Saccharomyces cerevisiae S288C: one gene and its partners. The gene in region 1 interacts genetically with each later gene. Each region holds a gene or a part of one and is shown in the gene's direction. Other genes may lie near its edges.

Evidence for each region.
Region 2: mutations in KGD4 (region 1) and IRC8 together harm fitness more than expected from each alone (negative genetic interaction), as found in Saccharomyces cerevisiae (one large-scale study listed by BioGRID).
Region 3: mutations in KGD4 (region 1) and ZRT1 together harm fitness more than expected from each alone (negative genetic interaction), as found in Saccharomyces cerevisiae (one large-scale study listed by BioGRID).
Region 4: mutations in KGD4 (region 1) and HPF1 together harm fitness more than expected from each alone (negative genetic interaction), as found in Saccharomyces cerevisiae (one large-scale study listed by BioGRID).

Annotation. Positions count from the first base shown.
Region 1 is NC_001138.5:246,022-250,191, forward strand, and holds KGD4 (alpha-ketoglutarate dehydrogenase subunit KGD4), read left to right. Parts: upstream 1-2,501; coding exon 2,502-2,873; downstream 2,874-4,170. Other genes in the region: RMD8 (Rmd8p), read left to right, coding at 125-2,113; PRE4 (proteasome core particle subunit beta 7), read right to left, coding at 3,045-3,845; RET2 (coatomer subunit delta), read right to left, coding at 4,142-4,170. UniProt on the Saccharomyces cerevisiae protein: Molecular adapter that is necessary to a form a stable 2-oxoglutarate dehydrogenase enzyme complex (OGDC).
Region 2 is NC_001142.9:337,306-342,755, forward strand, and holds IRC8 (Irc8p), read left to right. Parts: upstream 1-2,481; coding exon 2,482-4,950; downstream 4,951-5,450. Other genes in the region: YJL052C-A (uncharacterized protein), read right to left, coding at 579-698; glyceraldehyde-3-phosphate dehydrogenase (phosphorylating) TDH1, read left to right, coding at 966-1,964; ATP-dependent RNA helicase MTR4, read left to right, coding at 5,217-5,450.
Region 3 is NC_001139.9:17,748-22,608, forward strand, and holds ZRT1 (high-affinity Zn(2+) transporter ZRT1), read left to right. Parts: upstream 1-3,230; coding exon 3,231-4,361; downstream 4,362-4,861. Other genes in the region: FZF1 (Fzf1p), read left to right, coding at 4,557-4,861. UniProt on the Saccharomyces cerevisiae protein: High-affinity zinc transport protein.
Region 4 is NC_001147.6:27,563-34,402, reverse strand, and holds HPF1 (mannoprotein), read left to right. Parts: upstream 1-2,796; coding exon 2,797-5,700; downstream 5,701-6,840. UniProt on the Saccharomyces cerevisiae protein: Involved in cell wall organization and biosynthesis.

The DNA of each region.
Region 1 (4,170 bases):
GAAAAACCTACAAGAAAAACAAAACCAGGTTAGGCATACATTAATACAAGATTATATCAATCGGAAGTTCGTATGCAAAATTGCATATGGAGCAAAGGAAAGGACTTCCATTTAAGACGACAGTATGAGTTATAAGGCTAACCAACCATCTCCTGGGGAGATGCCGAAAAGGTCACCTTCCATCCTGGTGACAGATGCAAGAACATCCAAGAATAGAATGAGTGCACCGTTCGCTGGACACGCTGCTGGTAGTAGGAAGAATATGGAAAACGCAGGAGTTACGAAGTCTCAAGGAGTTCGCTCTTCCGCTATTGGCCCTTCTCCGCTGCAGAGTTTTACTCATCCAAGAAGGCGATCGTCTGGCAGGTTTAGCGATATATCCATAGATAATATTCTTTCTGATAATTCAGATATTCCCTCTGCCAGAAGAGAGGAAAGGCTATCCAGCTCTTCAAGCGATAGGCCTCGCCAATATGAGCGGTTAAGTTCGCGTAGAAAGATGATCAATCCCCTGCCTCCAAGAACATCGAAGACGTCACAAAAGTTAGTGTTGATACCGGAAGACGACAACTTGAACCACTTTCAAACTCTACCAACGAACGCGCTGGATAGGCAAAGACCGAAAGTGGGCTCTATGAAGTCTAATTCCTTCGATCGGCTACCTCGATACTCAAAAGAAAAGTCCATGGCAAGAATCACCGCATATAATGTTGCTGATGGCTTCAATCTCAACCAATTGTATAAGTTTCTGCAGGAAACTCATGAGGTTTCACCAAGATTGTATGATGAGTGTCTATACGTTGCGTATACTTTGCCACTTCTACCAGGTAAAGGCGGTTTTAGAATCAAATCAAATTTATCTAAGAAAACAATGGGTGGAAAGACATTAATTGATAATTTAATTGATACAAGCGAACAGAGAGATCATCATTATGAATATTACTCAGGTGTGGAAACTGTGGAAGATGCAAATAATAATTACGAACTAGAAACCAGTGGAAATAACAATAACGCTAATCAAGACACCACAACAGTTCCCGATCATCTACCAAATCCAGTTGGTCAGCAAGACTCTTTTAATCCTATGGAACCACAATTTTTTGCGGAAGAAACTCCCTTAGAGATAGAGAAACGGGAAAGGACAGAAAGAATAAACATGCTGAAGAAGGAGGAAAACGACAGTGATGCAAGTTGTGGCAACGATAATAATAATAAAAATAATGATAAGAGTAAACTTTATGCTGTTGAGGGAAACGATCAGTATGTACAGTCCTCTCGTTCACCAGCTTCGCCATCATCAATATCTACGCCATCGCCACCATCTTCATCACAGAATGATTTTGATCGTGTATATAAAATGCATAGGGACAACGACCATGAAGGCAATGATAGACATGCAGAAATTTTCATTTTTCACTATGGCGTTATTGTTTTTTGGAACTTTACTGAAATTCAAGAGAAAAATATTCTTGGTGATATAACATTTGCAGATTATAAGAATTTAATGATCCGGCCGCTGGATGAACAAGATATTGAAACTGAACAATTCCATTTCGAATATGACAGAGATACCGAGAGACCGAGAATTTTCAATGATATTGTCACATTACGTTCAGGTGACCACATTATCGAGCTGACACTATCACATGCGATTGCGCAATCTTCGAAATTATCAAGGTTTGAATCCAGAATTTCGCCGATTTTAATATCAGTCACAAAACTACCTAAAAGACTAGCATTATATGGTACCCTTGGGTTAAAAAGGGAACAGCTTTTGAAAAAATCAGGGAAGCTCTTTAAATTGAGAGTGGATGTTAACCTTTCATCCACCATATTGGATACACCCGAGTTTTTTTGGTCGTTCGAACCAAGTTTGCATCCACTGTACGTGGCAATGAGGGAGTATTTAGAAATTGACCAAAGAGTACAAGTATTAAATGATCGTTGCAAAGTTTTCTTGGAATTCTTTGATATATGCGTTGACTCTGTTGCTGAAAGAAACATGGCTCGTGTTACATGGTGGTTTATTCTTGTCATTTTATTTGGAGTTATATTTTCATTAACAGAGATTTTCGTTCGTTATGTAATTATTCATCGTCATACTTCTACATAGATATTCATACACCCTTCTAGACGGCATTAAAAATAAATTAATGATATATTTAGTTATCAAGGTTTTTAGTCATATATTTCACCGTTATTACCATTCTTGGTCACGTGCAAGTAAAACCACTCGTTGATTGGCTCCCCTCAAGATTGCATTAAAAGTACAATAATATGACTAAGGGACTCGAATATGTAAATTCATCTTTCGCATCAACAAAGGAGAAAAAGACGATAGTGAAGACTAATATTTTAGCCAGATTGCAGTGTTTCAGTGATCTTAAAAGTCTTTTTCATTTCTAGCCGCATTGAATTCTTTAAAGCAAACCATTAAGGAGTACTTCCCCAGGTTTTTAACCGATAATAAGAGTAAGATAAAAGTACAAGAAGACAGGGAAATGATTGCTACACCTATAAGATTAGCAAAGAGTGCATATGAGCCGATGATAAAATTCGTCGGTACAAGGCATCCCTTAGTGAAGCATGCAACTGAGGTCGTTGTTCATCCTTGCGCTACCAACGGAATGTTACCTGGCAGCAAAGAGTGTATTCCAGTGAGTAAATTCATGGAAAATTATAAACCATTCCGTGTAGTGCCAATAAAGCATAGCGCTAATGCTGGTCTCAGCTCGTCAAAGACCTCTGTATTCGTTAACAGGCCATTGCAAAAAGATGAGCTTGCTTCCATTTTCGAGCTACCTGCTAGGTTTCGGTACAAACCTATTAACGAGCATGAATTGGAGAGCATAAATAGCGGTGGTGCATGGTGAAGGATAGATGCAGTAATATTATGATTTTTTTTTGTTATTTTATAGTTTCTTTACACATATCATTATATCTATGTAAAAACGTAGTTACTTAGGAAGAGAGAAGAGTGATGATATTATGAATTGAAAAATAAAAATAAAATGAGTATTTAATGAAGGTGGGATAAAACTCTTCTAAATTTTTTGAGTACCGTAGCCTTTAATATCCTTGGCGAAGTCCCATTTCATGTTTTCAACTTGCAAGTTTTTCTTGAAAGTTAAACCTGTGTTCTTATCAATTATGGCCAGTGAGAAGTTTCTAGAAGAACGGGCATCTCTATAATAAAGAACTCTCATTGCATTTACGATCGCCTCTTCAGCAACCTGTACAGTGGTCTTTGGAATATCAGATTCTCGATCTACAACTTTCCTTAACAGTGGGTTTGCCATGTGTGCCCCAAAACCTGTGGCCAAGGTGGGAGACGAATACGTAACACCTAGAAGATTTACGTATCTTAGGAATTGATCACCATTAGACTGTACACCAGCAACAATGATGGCATTCCAAAGTGGATTCATCTTTGATCTTCGCTGGTACATGACGGTAGCTAGATATTCAAAAATATAGCTGGGTTCGAGCGCTTCTTCAGCATCCGCTAGAGGATTGTCATACGCATTTTCAGTGACTAGATCTTTCAATAATCTCTCAATGTGTTGCATATCAGAAATATCACCTGAAATGCCCACAACGGTGTTATCACCCACGGGAATAAGCCTCTCCACGCCATTGAATCTTAGAAGAGAGCCATATGAACCTAAATTATCTGCTGCAATGATAACCCCATTATCATATTTCATTGATATGACGGAAGTACCTGTTACTATTGGTTGCTGTGTATTAACCATGGGAGAGGCGCCTGCGTTCGCAATTTGTGTATTGTAAGCACCATAAGTAGAGTCTGCGGGCCTGCCCCAACTGAAAGGATCGTGATTCATTCGTGTGGGTTTTTATGTTGTTTTCGGCGGAAGATGAAGGATTCCTGCTGCTTATCCCCTTTCTTAACTTAGCTGTACTTTACTATGTGGGTACGTATTTAAGGTGGCAAATTCTAAACCAAGAAGCTGGAACATCTTTAATAAAAAGGATTGACGGGTAACCCTAAAAGGAAAAATAATAAAGAATAAGAGTAAGTTAAACTATATATATAGAAGGACGAAAGAAAAGATACCTCGATTTTTATTTATTTAGTTTGTGTATATAACTTAAGTATTTTATATGTGAATGTAACGTACTATTGGACAAGATATTCATCTGATTTCA
Region 2 (5,450 bases), on another chromosome or scaffold:
TGTCCAAGGGAACAATTTTTCTTCAAGTTAATGCATAAGAAATATCTTTTTTTATGTTTAGCTAAGTAAAAGCAGCTTGGAGTAAAAAAAAAAATGAGTAAATTTCTCGATGGATTAGTTTCTCACAGGTAACATAACAAAAACCAAGAAAAGCCCGCTTCTGAAAACTACAGTTGACTTGTATGCTAAAGGGCCAGACTAATGGGAGGAGAAAAAGAAACGAATGTATATGCTCATTTACACTCTATATCACCATATGGAGGATAAGTTGGGCTGAGCTTCTGATCCAATTTATTCTATCCATTAGTTGCTGATATGTCCCACCAGCCAACACTTGATAGTATCTACTCGCCATTCACTTCCAGCAGCGCCAGTAGGGTTGTTGAGCTTAGTAAAAATGTGCGCACCACAAGCCTACATGACTCCACGTCACATGAAACCACACCGTGGGGCCTTGTTGCGCTAGGAATAGGATATGCGACGAAGACGCTTCTGCTTAGTAACCACACCACATTTTCAGGGGGTCGATCTGCTTGCTTCCTTTACTGTCACGAGCGGCCCATAATCGCGCTTTTTTTTTAAAAGGCGCGAGACAGCAAACAGGAAGCTCGGGTTTCAACCTTCGGAGTGGTCGCAGATCTGGAGACTGGATCTTTACAATACAGTAAGGCAAGCCACCATCTGCTTCTTAGGTGCATGCGACGGTATCCACGTGCAGAACAACATAGTCTGAAGAAGGGGGGGAGGAGCATGTTCATTCTCTGTAGCAGTAAGAGCTTGGTGATAATGACCAAAACTGGAGTCTCGAAATCATATAAATAGACAATATATTTTCACACAATGAGATTTGTAGTACAGTTCTATTCTCTCTCTTGCATAAATAAGAAATTCATCAAGAACTTGGTTTGATATTTCACCAACACACACAAAAAACAGTACTTCACTAAATTTACACACAAAACAAAATGATCAGAATTGCTATTAACGGTTTCGGTAGAATCGGTAGATTGGTCTTGAGATTGGCTTTGCAAAGAAAAGACATTGAGGTTGTTGCTGTCAACGATCCATTTATCTCTAACGATTATGCTGCTTACATGGTCAAGTACGATTCTACTCATGGTAGATACAAGGGTACTGTTTCCCATGACGACAAGCACATCATCATTGATGGTGTCAAGATCGCTACCTACCAAGAAAGAGACCCAGCTAACTTGCCATGGGGTTCTCTAAAGATCGATGTCGCTGTTGACTCCACTGGTGTTTTCAAGGAATTGGACACCGCTCAAAAGCACATTGACGCTGGTGCCAAGAAGGTTGTCATCACTGCTCCATCTTCTTCTGCTCCAATGTTTGTTGTTGGTGTTAACCACACTAAATACACTCCAGACAAGAAGATTGTCTCCAACGCTTCTTGTACCACCAACTGTTTGGCTCCATTGGCCAAGGTTATCAACGATGCTTTCGGTATTGAAGAAGGTTTGATGACCACTGTTCACTCCATGACCGCCACTCAAAAGACTGTTGATGGTCCATCCCACAAGGACTGGAGAGGTGGTAGAACCGCTTCCGGTAACATTATCCCATCCTCTACCGGTGCTGCTAAGGCTGTCGGTAAGGTCTTGCCAGAATTGCAAGGTAAGTTGACCGGTATGGCTTTCAGAGTCCCAACCGTCGATGTTTCCGTTGTTGACTTGACTGTCAAGTTGGAAAAGGAAGCTACTTACGACCAAATCAAGAAGGCTGTTAAGGCTGCCGCTGAAGGTCCAATGAAGGGTGTTTTGGGTTACACCGAAGATGCCGTTGTCTCCTCTGATTTCTTGGGTGACACTCACGCTTCCATCTTCGATGCCTCCGCTGGTATCCAATTGTCTCCAAAGTTCGTCAAGTTGATTTCCTGGTACGATAACGAATACGGTTACTCCGCCAGAGTTGTTGACTTGATCGAATATGTTGCCAAGGCTTAAATAAAGCAATCTTGATGAGGATAATGATTTTTTTTTGAATATACATAAATACTACCGTTTTTCTGCTAGATTTTGTGAAGACGTAAATAAGTACATATTACTTTTTAAGCCAAGACAAGATTAAGCATTAACTTTACCCTTTTCTCTTCTAAGTTTCAATACTAGTTATCACTGTTTAAAAGTTATGGCGAGAACGTCGGCGGTTAAAATATATTACCCTGAACGTGGTGAATTGAAGTTCTAGGATGGTTTAAAGATTTTTCCTTTTTGGGAAATAAGTAAACAATATATTGCTGCCTTTGCAAAACGCACATACCCACAATATGTGACTATTGGCAAAGAACGCATTATCCTTTGAAGAGGTGGATACTGATACTAAGAGAGTCTCTATTCCGGCTCCACTTTTAGTCCAGAGATTACTTGTCTTCTTACGTATCAGAACAAGAAAGCATTTCCAAAGTAATTGCATTTGCCCTTGAGCAGTATATATATACTAAGAAAGGAATCATACTCTCTTATGTGCCATAATTCTGTTAGGAGCGGAAATAAGGCTGGTTTTTTGGGGATCAAGTTCGGAAGTGCTCTTCTCTCAATTGCCACAGGTGCCATTGCTATCGCATTGCTATGCAAGTTCCACGACCACGAAGCGGTACTGATAGTTATTGTATGCTCGACATTGTTATATGGAATACCGTCACTGATATCGTTTATCACAGAGACTGTTTTTGCGCCTAGCAAGTTTCATATTGGATACTTTTACAACGTTCTTAATTTTGCATTGCCACTGATCACCATGGGCTGCACAGTGGACTATTTTCATAATACCTTGAGGAGCCCAATATCGGTACAAAGCGAGTCTCACAGAGTCTATATAACAACTCTGGATTCTTTGTTAATTTTCACACTTTTCATTAATGGCATACAATTAGGATTCTTCCTGAAGGATGGCAATGCGAACAATTTCGGCAGCTCATCTAACAATATTAGTACGGATCAATATGACAAAGAAGCAAATGCGGTGGAAAATGGTAGATTTGTACCCCTTAAGAACTCTTCACAGACCTTAACACCAGATTTGGAATTATTACACGGTAGTCCCAAGAGTATGAATGGGGTAGCGTGGCTGATTAATGAACTCTCCACAAATTCAAACACAAACGCAAACAAAACCATATCATCCGATGAAAATTCAAACTCTTCAGTTATTCGACACAAATTAGGACCGATTAGCACCAGCAAGTGTCCTAAAAAGCCATCTCATTCGCATTTTTCTAAATTGAAAAAATATAACAGTTTCTTTTTGGGTCCTAAAGAAAATCGATACAAAAGAAATACACAACAAGCTACTAAGGTTCCGACAGAAAAGAAAAGCAACCACCGAAGTAGCCAGTATGTATCCAGACTATCAACCATATCTGACATCTCGAAAAGTTTCCTGAATTTCTTAGCATTAAACGAAAAAAACGGGAATTCGACTTCCACTGCGAGAACACCAAGTGAAGGAAGAGTTTCAATAATAATTAACGAAGGAAATAATACTTTGAAATACAAAACTCCCCATGATTCGCATACTATTGATTCTCCAAACTTGGAGTTAGAAAGAGAAGCTATTGGGAGAATTAATAGTGCCTTACTTCCTGCATGTTTGAGAGTAACAGATAAAATGATATCCCCACAGCAAAGCACTCAAAATGAGGACTCATACCAAGCAACACCATTGATACCCCAGGTGGAAGTTGACGATGATTTCTATGTAGGTGATATCTTAATGACTAATGAACTACAAGACATTCCACAAGTCCCAAGGATATCATCTGATATAGAAGACGATTTCGAACAACAATATACCAAACACGTGGATTTGCCAGCCCGTGTCACTTTAGAGATGTGGGAAAAGGATCAGGAGAAAATACTTCAAAAAGTAACCACAAACCGGGATAAAAGCAAATTACTACCCCCTTTCAGATTCACCTCTGAAAGTGATATGGATCCAAGTACATCCACCGAATTGGAAGTTGAACTGCATGCCCAAAACAACTTCAGCTTTCCCTTTAAAAGTGCAGGATTACAAATTGCTACATCAGACCAATTTAACCAACAGGAGTTTAAAACTTCAGATACTATTAGCGAACTAGATGAGTATTTACATGATCCCAGCATTCAAGAAGAGGATGCAAGTCAGCTGATTGAAAGCAGTTTGAACCAAAACAACCTATCCTCAACTACTATTGACAATGGCCCAAAGGATATGAGTAGATTTAGTACAAGGCATTCACCAACCAAATCGATAATTTCCATGATCAGTGGATCAGGAAGTGTCAAGCACCAACATTCACACAGCACCCTAAGCAACTTTTTTACGGGTCATTCAAGAAACAATTCTCAAATAAATCAGCTATTACAGGGTTCTTCTTCTAATATGATGTCCAACACCTCACCGCATTCATCTCCAACCAAGTCGTTGAGAATGAGATTTGGAAAGAAATTGTCATTATCAAATATCTCTGATACAATGTCGCCATATGAGGGTAGTACAACAGATCCGATAAACTACTCGTTTGGCCATGGTCACAATAAAAACCAGAGTATTGATTTTAGCTACGTACGTACTTTGCAAAGCAGTCATTCACCTACAAAATCAACCTCGGGAAATTCTCGTCGGGATTCTTTAAACAATGATAGAACCCAGAGTACTGTTAATGAAAGAGCGCTTAGAACTGCAAGTACATTATTCTATCTCCAGCACAATAACGCCACATGTACATTGAACGGAGAGGAGCCAGTTCTGGACACACCACAATCTATACAGTCATCATCAAGCGGTTCTGAGCAAGAATCGGCGGGATCTGGTTCTGGCTATCCAGAAGTAGTGTTCAGCGAGTATGATAGAGAAAAATGGAATGTTTTGAGGAATCTAAAAGAGATAGCGCCCGAAAAAACTATAGAGAGCGGACCTGTTGAAGAACTAGTCTCTCCCAGTAAATAAACCAACCGACTTATTCATATGTATCAAAGATACCTATGGGAACTGCTAAAAGCAACTATTTTGATCCCGTAGAACACGATTTATTTCATTAAATTTTTTTTTTTTTTTTTTTTTTTCACTTTCTTGCGATGAGATGCACATAGTAAAAGAAAAGTATACCAGTGTAGTGCGTAAATTAATACCTATATAATAATTCATTTTCGGTGACTCAACATTCCCTGCCTATATTTTAAGCACCTGCAAGAAATATAGATTATATACGAAGGATGGATTCTACTGATCTGTTCGATGTTTTCGAGGAAACACCTGTTGAGCTTCCTACAGATAGTAATGGAGAAAAAAATGCTGATACAAACGTAGGAGATACTCCAGATCATACCCAGGATAAGAAGCATGGCCTTGAAGAAGAAAAAGAAGAGCATGAGGAAAACAACAGTGAAAATAAAAAAATCAAATCCAATAAGAGCAAAACGGAAGATAAAAACAAAAAAGTTGTAGTA
Region 3 (4,861 bases), on another chromosome or scaffold:
GAGACGATGAAATCTTAAAAATTGTCAGCAAATAAATGTTTATTTATCGAATACTAGGTCGAAACATTTTTTTTGTTTATTCAAAATGATCATGTACCTTCTTCTCGCGAAAGTTTTAATTAAAATTTACTGATAGTTTTTTAATGATGAACTTCTATAACTAAACCATAATAATGAAAATTACAGGTAATATTTATATCACAAGAAACGGCCCCTCTTTTCTGTTTTTATATAGTAACCATTAAGAATAGTTGGCTAATCTACTATGAAAGTTCCTAATTAAAAAAAATTCATGAAGAGTTAATCAACGTTCCAGTACCAAATTTATTCTATGTTCTCCTTGGAAGATGAACTTGCCGCAGTAGATCATAGAACCTCATTTTCAACGTTTTCCAAAGAAATACTTTTTTTATTTAACTGACAAATATTAATACAGTCTTTATATCATCGATATGACTAAAGTACATCGGAATTGCCCAGCAGTAGAGCTCGTGATCGAATAGAAAAACGAGGGCCTTCAGTAGCTCGTAGACATAGGTTAAGATCATGGATCCTGCATTAAAAAATTCACATAGCGCTAGAATTTTGTTAGCGCATCCGCCTGTTTTTCTTTCAAATGTAAAATTTTAAATACGATCATTCCTTTGGATACTCAGCAATAGTGCGCACCAGTTAAGAACTGTTTTTATGGTTAAACATGTCTTAATATAATGTGCATACTTCAATGCACCCAAAATGTATATGTTCAGACAGTTTGTCAATAGAGTAATAATCATTCAAACAAAACCGTAAATTTGAATGTTAGATGTAGCTGTAAAGAAACTTGCTAGATCTAAATATTAATAGAAAAACTCTAACTATCAATTAAACGACATCTTACATTTCAATTTCATAAAAATTATTCTTTTGGCTAGTTTATATCATATAGCTTTCCGTAAAACCAGTAACAAGCAATACACTAAATTGTCCATGTTTTAACTACCATTTCCTTCTAATTTTTTTCCTTTCTTAGCTGATTTAATTCATTTATTTGCTGTCGTTTGCATTTACTGACTAAAAAAAGTGTAAAATATGGGAAGCGCAAATTGAAAAGTCGGGTTGCGAAATTACCTGCCAAAAATCCACCTCGTTAATATCTAACAAGATTCAACGCCTGTTGACAAAAGAAACTCGTCAGTCTCTCAGTTTACTTCTATGTTTAACATATTTGCTATGATCCACTCTAGATTCTGCCCAGCCCTCAACTTCACGCCCACGTTGAGAGTACATTCAGTACGTTGAAAATACATTCAGTCACACCCGCAGCACAGCAAGTCGTTTCATCTAAGCTATTTTGATCGTTAGAATATCCACACCTCACAAGTATCGACAATTTAGATGTGTATTGGGTTTTGTCTACGCAAATACCATTAGTTTCACACAAGATGCCATCAGCGCTACTGTAAATAGATTGTTCCTCTGTTATCGTGCGAATGGAACTAGAAAACCAATAATCATTGAATAATATATGTGACAGTGACAGGCCACCAGAATAAAGCTAATATCTAGAGGGGTATTTCTTCTTGAGTGAAGAAGAAATATGCTACTTCCAAATTTTAGGACGACAAATCCTCATAATATGAATTAGGCAAATTACAGAATGAAGGGGGTTGAGAAGTCCCACAGCACATCGCTCCTTCGCTAAGAGCTCCACTGCTAAAACAGAAAAAAAAAGTATTAATCAATTGTACTACCATGTTCTTTGTTACTAAACGCGCCTATTTTTTTCGAGAGCCTTTACGAGAGTCAATCAAGCATTCTCCCGCATACTTCGCTAAGAAAAAAGTGATCTTTAATTGGGCCCTTCATCTATCATTTTTGCTTAAGTGGCGTAACTTATTTTATCATTTCCTCTCCCTGCCATCCTCTTTATTTTTGTTCTGTATCACAGCAGTTAATTCAGTTTCCATTCAAAGTATGCCACGGATAACTTGATGCTTCAAGAAGAAAAATTATTTGGCCTAAAACTTGCTGTTTCTTCACAATTTTTCTAAATGCTCTCCGATTCCCGGATTGCAGATGTTTCACTGCTCCACATTATATCCTTTGTGTCCACCTTGATAATCGATACTTTAAAGATTATTTTGTGGGAGGAGAGCCTTAGAAAGAATACGCTTGTTTTAAGAAGGAAAACAAGCGGCACCAATCTTCAATTGGTATTTTAAAATCTATTAGACGTCAAATCCCGGTTAGACTTGAGATAGATGTACCTGGAGAGAAAATCTATAATAAAAAAAAAAATACTTTCAGGTCAGATATTTCTTTTTTTGTCCCTAATAAAAAGAAATGGTATTCTGCCAAACACCAAAGTGCCAAATAAGCATTATTTTACATAGTACGAAATGGAAATTACGTCAATTATCGACATTATGACATAAAATTGGATTTAACAAGATCTCTGAATCTGATATGCTTCTTTCATTAGGGTGGAAATAACAGCATTTGAGAGAAGCAATTGCCAAGCTTCTATGAAAATTTTCTAGAAGGCAAGAGTATTTCAGACTTTCCTAATATGAAAGGACAAATTGACACTAATGTCTGATTATGGCCAATTCCTGCGGTAAATTACACGGCGATTACGGCGACATGAGCTCACATTCATCACTCTATGGGACAAATGTTTCCAAACTGGGCGCAACAAACACCTGATGTGACTCCTACCCTTTGGACAATGCAGATCCACGCTACGGCAAATTAGTCAAATGCACTAGAACATGGCGCAAGTACTTATTGTGACCTTTGGGGTACCGTTACCGTCAGTTTTCTTCAGCTAAGGCGCGCGCGCCAGATAACTAAAAAAAAATATAGTTGCTGCTTAAAAAACAATACACCCGTACTCTCTTGCCTGTAAAAACCTCGAAGGACCAAAGATACCCTCAAGGTTCTCATCTGTGCGGTATTCTTCAAATTACAATGACATTTCCCAAAATTATCAGATGTGCTCAGGTATCTTCTCTCCAATGAGATGAGACAGATGAACATATTTGACCTTGAAGGTCATGGAAAGTAGGTTGAGAGCAAATGTGTAGAACGAAATTAAGAAAAAAAGAAATTACGCACGGCATTAGCTCGATGACTTAGTTATAAATAGAGGCCTGGTATCGGCTGTCATGATCTCATCTCTTCCCTATTTACAAAAAAACTGCAAGTATAGACAATAAAACAACAGCACAAATATCAAAAAAGGAATTATGAGCAACGTTACTACGCCGTGGTGGAAACAATGGGACCCTTCTGAAGTTACACTTGCCGATAAAACCCCTGATGATGTGTGGAAGACCTGTGTTTTGCAAGGTGTTTACTTTGGTGGAAACGAGTACAATGGTAACTTAGGTGCCAGAATATCTTCCGTCTTTGTTATTCTTTTCGTGAGTACTTTTTTCACCATGTTCCCATTAATCTCAACAAAAGTGAAAAGATTGAGAATTCCTCTATATGTTTACCTTTTCGCAAAGTATTTTGGTTCCGGTGTTATTGTTGCAACCGCATTTATCCACTTAATGGACCCTGCTTATGGTGCGATTGGTGGTACCACTTGTGTAGGACAAACCGGTAACTGGGGTCTTTATTCATGGTGTCCTGCCATTATGCTAACGAGTTTGACCTTCACTTTCCTTACTGATCTATTCAGTAGCGTCTGGGTTGAAAGAAAGTATGGTCTTTCCCATGACCATACCCACGATGAAATTAAAGACACTGTTGTGAGAAACACTGCAGCTGTTTCAAGTGAGAATGACAATGAGAATGGTACTGCAAATGGATCTCATGACACCAAGAACGGAGTAGAGTATTATGAAGATTCAGACGCTACATCCATGGATGTTGTTCAATCATTTCAAGCACAATTTTATGCCTTTTTAATTTTAGAATTCGGTGTGATTTTCCACTCCGTTATGATCGGTCTAAACCTGGGAAGTGTTGGTGATGAGTTCTCCTCCCTATACCCTGTCTTAGTGTTCCATCAATCATTTGAAGGTTTAGGTATTGGTGCAAGATTGTCAGCCATTGAATTCCCTAGATCAAAGAGATGGTGGCCATGGGCCCTATGTGTTGCGTATGGGTTAACCACACCAATCTGTGTGGCCATCGGTTTGGGTGTTCGTACCAGATACGTCAGCGGTTCTTACACTGCGCTTGTTATCTCTGGTGTTTTGGATGCCATTTCTGCTGGTATCTTATTGTACACTGGTTTGGTTGAACTACTAGCAAGAGACTTTATATTCAATCCTCAAAGAACAAAGGATCTAAGAGAATTGTCCTTCAACGTTATATGCACTCTTTTCGGTGCTGGTATCATGGCTTTGATCGGTAAGTGGGCTTAAACCAAAGCGAAATTCTGCATGTTCCATATAGATTCTATTTCATATTTTATAGTTATTTATTCTTTAGTAATAGCAAAAAAACAGTAATAATTTTTCTTTAACAGTCTCGGACAATAAATACGCTAAAGAAGATGAAAATGACAACTTTTACGCTGGTGTGCACAAGTGGTACCAGAATACGTGGCCACCAAAACAATGACGGATATAGGGAGAACCAAGTCTAGAAATTACAAATGTTCTTTTGACGGTTGTGAGAAAGTCTACAACAGACCTAGTTTGCTTCAGCAACACCAAAATTCGCATACCAATCAAAAGCCGTATCATTGTGATGAGCCGGGATGTGGCAAAAAATTTATAAGACCGTGCCATCTACGAGTTCACAAATGGACTCATTCACAAATCAAGCCCAAAGCGTGCACATTATGTCAAAAAAGATTTGTCACAAATCAGCAATTAAGAAGGCATTTAAATAGTCATGAAAGAAAAAGCAAGCTTGCATC
Region 4 (6,840 bases), on another chromosome or scaffold:
TTTTCCTCCAAAGAGGTTACATTCTTGTAAGCAGTATGGCTACAAAAAACCTTCAGGGTCCTAACCCTGAAGGTCAATTATAAGAAGCCTTTAAAAACAGCGCTTCCGCCATGTCATTGTCGACAGCTAGCTACGGCTGATTCAGCGCGCATACGATTTTTTTCTTTTGGCTAGCATAAATTGATCGCATACTGCCCAAAAAGAAACGGCAAAACGTCAGAGCTTAATGCTTCATTGACATTGCGGCAGCAACAAACTTCCGTTTGGCACTCAATGATCAGCACCTCTTTTCCACTTCAGCTGAAAATTTCAAGCAGTTGACTCTTGTTGGACTTTATTCTTATCTTTTTCTTTACTTAATTTTTCACATTTTAAAAGTTGTTTAGTTTTACCCTTTTTGGAGATTTTATTACAGCGATTGATTATGGGCCAGGTGAATATTGGTCAATTATTGAAATTTCATTTTATCTATGAGAAATAGATGAAAAAATTAGATAATTGTGTTGGGATTCCACTGTTCTCATTAGGTATGAATTTCTCCTGGAGGATACAAAAAAAAAAATTCACAAAAGGGAATCGATTTTTGTCTGTATGATATTATTGAGGCTTTCATTCATTTTACATATTGTCGTTCATTACCTTGTTACATTATCAATCCTTCCATTTCTGTATCCTTTAGATATGATGACTGCCTCTTGATGTTATGCCATATTTGCACCAGTATGTCATATATACTAGCAAGAAGACTGCTAGTCAATTAACAATAGTTGATTCTCGATTCAGCAACCATATTTTTGGAATCGGACTGAATTTTGTCGAACTAATTATACACCTTTCCTTGAAAGAATAAGCTGTTAGTGAGAAACAAGCAAGAACTTGCTAGCCGTCGCAGTTTGTCGGATTTCACTAAATAGACAAAACTACATGTAGAGTATCGTATTTCTATGGTAAAAGTTTACACCATCAAAAATTACCCCGCGAAGACTACGCAAATAAGGTTATACAAGTTAGTTGAGATGAAATAATCATCTCCACGTTCACGATTTAAGGCTAAATTGGAATGCGGCTAAAAAAGAGCGCAGTTACAAGAAAAAGCTACTATTTTATTATGCACGTGTGATAGCATTATCTTCAAGAATAAGCTCAAAAAAGAAAATGAGCTTAAAAAACCGCCTTTCCAGATAATTGAATGTAGCATATACCTATACATGCTTACCATGCCAAAAATATAACGGAACCACTACACATATCGGACCGTATTTTTATGGTTTATCAGTAAGGCCAACCATAAACACCTCAATGTTGGGGAGTCTGTCCTCGGCAATCAATGACGATGCCATTTCACCCTCATTCGAGTACTCGCTAACGTAAGAAAAAGGCACCCCGCAATGGGGTAGATCATACCCTAAAATGTTTCCTAGGTAGAAATAATAGTTACTAGGTAGGACGAAGGCAAGTACTACATAGCAGTACGGTTTCTGAGTCAGTAGTAACCCCTCAAACTTGCTCACACTTATCTTACCAAAAAATGGAGACGGACAATCAAATCTGAATTAAAAACACCGTCGCTTAACTGAATCAGAGAGAGAAGTTGAAACCAATGGTAGGAAATCAATCTAAAATAGAACACTTTAATTCTTAATAAAAAGAGGGGAACAACTTATTTTCTCCATTTGGCCTCGGCAACTTTCAGGGGGGCTTGAACGTATATACCGATCTACGTTGGAATTGACTGCTACTTCGTTCCACTAACCCAACTCAACAAATAAGCCTTGGAACCGCTGCAAGATTAGTCTATGTGACCGTGCCTTTTTTGCACTTTTAGAGAAACAGTGTTAAGAACTGTAATAACTGTTCAATTCTAAGCACTCAAACCGTGCTTGTACATATGCTTCAATGGCCTGCTCGATAGACCGATCACGTTTAATTTTTCTTTAATTTTGCCAAGGGAACGTTCTTTTCGTAGGCACCGCAATTTATTTCTAATGGATAAGTTCTGAATTTTGCTATGAATTAGTTAGTAGGGCCTACTAAAATGGCGTGGTATTTTTAAAGGGCCTTTACCAGCCACTCCTCAACAGAAAACCGTGCTCGCGTTGCAGAAATACGAGGTAGACACGCGCCTTAGGAACATAAAAATAAATATCTCGCGCTCACGGAAGGCAACCACTAACTCCTTTTCATCGAAAAGTGAGGTGTAGCTTACTAAAGCATTCCTCTTTATCCAAGTCGTATATTTTTCTTTATACTGCTAGTTCATTCTGAGCGGAGATTCCTGGCTAACTCTCCAATTGGAAATAAGGTAATAATGACTTTTCATGACGAATTGGGTGAAAATGCTTGGTGCTAGGCCCTGTGTTGTGGCTTTTTTCGGTAATAGTTTAATTTTCCAAAAAGGTTCCTGTGACTATCTTATCAAAGTAGCTTAGACCACGTCCTGCACGGTTTTGCAGACTGCTTAGGGGGTCTCTTGTTGTTATTAGCAGCGGAATATCTTTGTTTACTCATTAAAATGCCCCCCCGTTCGTTGCAAGGAACGCGCGCGCACAGAACTTGCGGATGCTTCCGCAGAAGTGCCCGTAGGAGATTTAAGCTAGCCCAGCGGTTAATCTACGCAGTTGCGTATTCGGAGTCCGCTCACACTTGCAAAAAGCATATAAAAAGCTTCATATTCATCTCATTAGTATCGGTTCTGCCATCCCATTATCTTAGGTTTATGCCTTTTCTGGTTCTCAAGTCAGTAACAACAAATACCCATCGTTGATTCTTTTTGGTAAGATCTCGCCTGTCAAAGAGATGTTCAATCGCTTTAATAAACTTCAAGCCGCTTTGGCTTTGGTCCTTTACTCCCAAAGTGCATTGGGCCAATATTATACCAACAGTTCCTCAATCGCTAGTAACAGCTCCACCGCCGTTTCGTCAACTTCATCAGGTTCCGTTTCCATCAGTAGTTCTATTGAGTTGACCTCATCTACTTCTGATGTCTCGAGCTCTCTCACTGAGTTAACGTCATCCTCCACCGAAGTCTCGAGCTCCATTGCTCCATCAACCTCGTCCTCTGAAGTCTCGAGCTCTATTACTTCATCAGGCTCTTCAGTCTCCGGCTCATCTTCTATTACTTCATCAGGCTCATCAGTCTCCAGTTCATCTTCTGCCACTGAATCAGGCTCATCCGCCTCCGGTTCATCCTCCGCCACTGAATCGGGCTCATCAGTCTCCGGTTCATCTACTTCCATTACATCAGGCTCATCCTCCGCCACTGAATCGGGCTCATCAGTCTCCGGTTCAACTTCTGCCACTGAATCAGGCTCATCCGCCTCCGGTTCATCTTCTGCCACTGAATCAGGCTCATCCGCCTCCGGTTCATCTTCTGCCACAGAATCAGGCTCATCAGTCTCCGGTTCATCTTCTGCCACAGAATCAGGCTCATCAGTCTCCGGTTCATCTTCTGCCACAGAATCAGGCTCCGCTTCTTCGGTTCCTAGCTCATCCGGTTCTGTCACAGAATCAGGCTCATCCTCATCAGCATCTGAATCATCTATCACACAATCTGGTACCGCTTCCGGTTCATCAGCCTCCAGCACGTCCGGTTCTGTTACACAATCTGGTTCCTCCGTTTCCGGTTCATCAGCTTCTTCTGCTCCAGGTATCTCGAGTTCAATTCCTCAATCAACCTCATCGGCTTCCACTGCCTCTGGTTCTATCACCTCCGGTACCTTAAGTTCTATTACCTCTTCGGCTTCTAGTGCAACTGCAACTGCTTCCAACTCTCTTTCTTCCAGCGATGGTACTATTTATTTGCCTTCTACAACCATCAGTGGTGACATCACACTCACCGGTTCAGTCATTGCAACTGAAGCTGTCGAAGTCGCTGCAGGTGGTAAGTTGACCCTACTTGATGGTGACAAATACGTTTTCTCTGCTGATTTCATAATCCATGGTGGCGTTTTCGTAGAAAAGTCTAAGCCAACTTACCCAGGTACCGAATTCGACATTTCTGGTGAAAACTTTGATGTATCTGGTACCTTTAACGCTGAAGAGCCTGCTGCTTCTTCCGCATCTGCCTACTCCTTCACTCCAGGCTCTTTCGATAACAGTGGTGATATTTCTTTGAGTCTATCAGAGTCCACAAAGGGCGAAGTCACATTCTCTCCCTACTCTAACTCTGGTGCTTTCTCTTTCTCAAATGCTATTCTCAATGGTGGTTCCGTCTCTGGTTTGCAGCGTAGAGCTGAATCAGGTTCTGTCAACAACGGTGAGATAAATCTTGAGAATGGCAGTACCTACGTCGTTGTCGAACCAGTTTCTGGAAGTGGTACAATCAACATCATCTCTGGCAACCTTTACTTGCACTATCCAGACACCTTTACTGGCCAAACTGTTGTATTCAAGGGTGAAGGTGTTCTTGCCGTTGACCCAACCGAAACCAACACTACTCCTATCCCTGTGGTTGGATACACTGGTGAAAACCAAATCGCCATTACAGCAGATGTCACTGCTCTTTCTTACGACAGTGCTACTGGTGTTTTAACTGCAACACAAGGCAACTCACAATTCTCCTTCTCTATTGGTACTGGGTTCTCCAGTTCTGGCTTCAACGTCTCCGAAGGAACATTTGCTGGTGCCTATGCTTATTATCTAAATTACGGAGGTGTTGTTGCTTCCAGCGCTACACCCTCATCCACATCTACCACATCAGGGGCTACCAACTCTACTTCCGGTTCCACTTCATTCGGTGCTTCCGTAACTGGTTCAACCGCTTCCACTTCATTCGGTGCTTCCGTGACTGGTTCAACGGCTTCCACCTTGATTTCCGGCTCCCCATCTGTTTATACCACAACATTAACATATGCAACAACCACAAGCACAGTAGTTGTCTCCTGTTCAGAAACAACTGATTCGAACGGTAACGTCTATACCATTACCACAACCGTACCATGTTCATCTACCACCGCCACTATCACTTCTTGCGATGAGACCGGATGTCATGTAACTACGTCTACCGGTACCGTCGCCACTGAAACCGTTTCTTCCAAATCATACACCACTGTTACCGTCACCCACTGTGACAACAATGGCTGTAACACCAAGACTGTCACTTCTGAATGTCCTGAAGAAACTTCAGCAACTACTACTTCTCCAAAATCATACACTACTGTTACCGTTACTCACTGTGACGACAACGGCTGTAACACTAAGACTGTCACCTCTGAGGCCCCTGAAGCCACAACCACTACTGTTTCTCCAAAGACATACACTACCGCTACTGTTACTCAGTGCGATGACAATGGATGTAGCACCAAGACTGTCACTTCTGAAGCTCCTAAAGAAACTTCAGAAACTTCAGAAACCAGTGCTGCCCCTAAGACATACACTACTGCCACTGTTACTCAATGTGATGACAATGGTTGTAACGTCAAGATAATCACCTCTCAAATACCTGAAGCTACTTCAACCGTCACCGCAACTAGTGCTTCTCCAAAGTCATACACTACTGTCACTTCTGAGGGTTCTAAAGCAACCTCATTGACTACTGCCATTTCCAAGGCTTCTAGTGCAATTTCCACATACTCCAAATCTGCAGCTCCAATAAAGACCTCTACTGGTATCATTGTCCAGTCCGAGGGTATTGCCGCAGGTTTGAATGCCAATACTTTGAATGCATTGGTCGGTATTTTCGTTCTTGCTTTCTTTAACTAATTTTTTTAACTGAGGAATTAAAAGTTTATTCCTCTGAAACGAGATAGGTTCTTAATATGCGTTTTATATACGCTTTGTGTAAACAGTTAAGTATTTTTTTAGCTTAATATTTGGATTTTTTTTATTTTTTTTATTCTTTTTGGATGAAATGGTTCCCTCTTCTGCCAATGAAGGGGAGACTAGGTTGATGTGTACACATCGTACACATTTTAAGGACACTTATTTCACTTATTGTCCACAGTAAAATCGTTCAGGCCATAATTAAATGCGAACTTAAGAGAACCTAAAAGTACCTCCCAACTTTTATAGTGGAGCTTCCGCTCTTTGGTCAGAAAAAAATCGAGTTCTGAACACTTGGCTTTATATTACAAATTTCTCCCTTCCAAGAAAGACAAGGGGTGCTTATCGCGACATGTCTCACAATAAACTTTATTATATTTATACTTTATTTATTAATAAGAGTTTCAAATAGGATTCTTGGAGAATTTTCAAAGCGTTTTTGCGTATAAGAAACTTTTCGGTTTGGCTCTTATCAGTTTACTGCCGATCTTTCTTCCTCACTGCTTGACCTGCCACTACGGAAGATCTTACCGACAATGATGTGAGCGGCGAGAACAAGGGAAATCTCGTAAGAATAGGAAACAACCTAACCTCATTTACTAAGAGAACCCGCAGGAAAAGATATCTTTTTGAGGCACAATTTTATGACCGCGTGTTTTCGAATTTTGACAGGGATCATGCAGGCAGAGATTTTCATGTCATTTGACAGCAAGTAACCCACAATCTACAGTCACACCCTTTTTGGCTTTTTTGAGGCGGGACTTTTTTTTTTAAGACATAATTCTTCAGCAGATTGAAATTCTGGTAACCTAATTGAGAAATCCCACGCATAATTGAGTTTTAACTTTCGAATTTTTCAGCAAGATAAATTAATGTCTCGCCCGGGCCATAGACAAAAGAAGAAAATCTATAAACATTCCGTGGATCGCCATGTGATATTTCTATTTAATATAGGCACATGGCTATGGCGAAACCTTAATGTGATACTTATGGTACATATATGTAACATGCTATAGTTACAGTAAGGATTGGCAACTTAATTCGTTTCCTTCGATTTTATACTCTTCGAACGTATTTGCA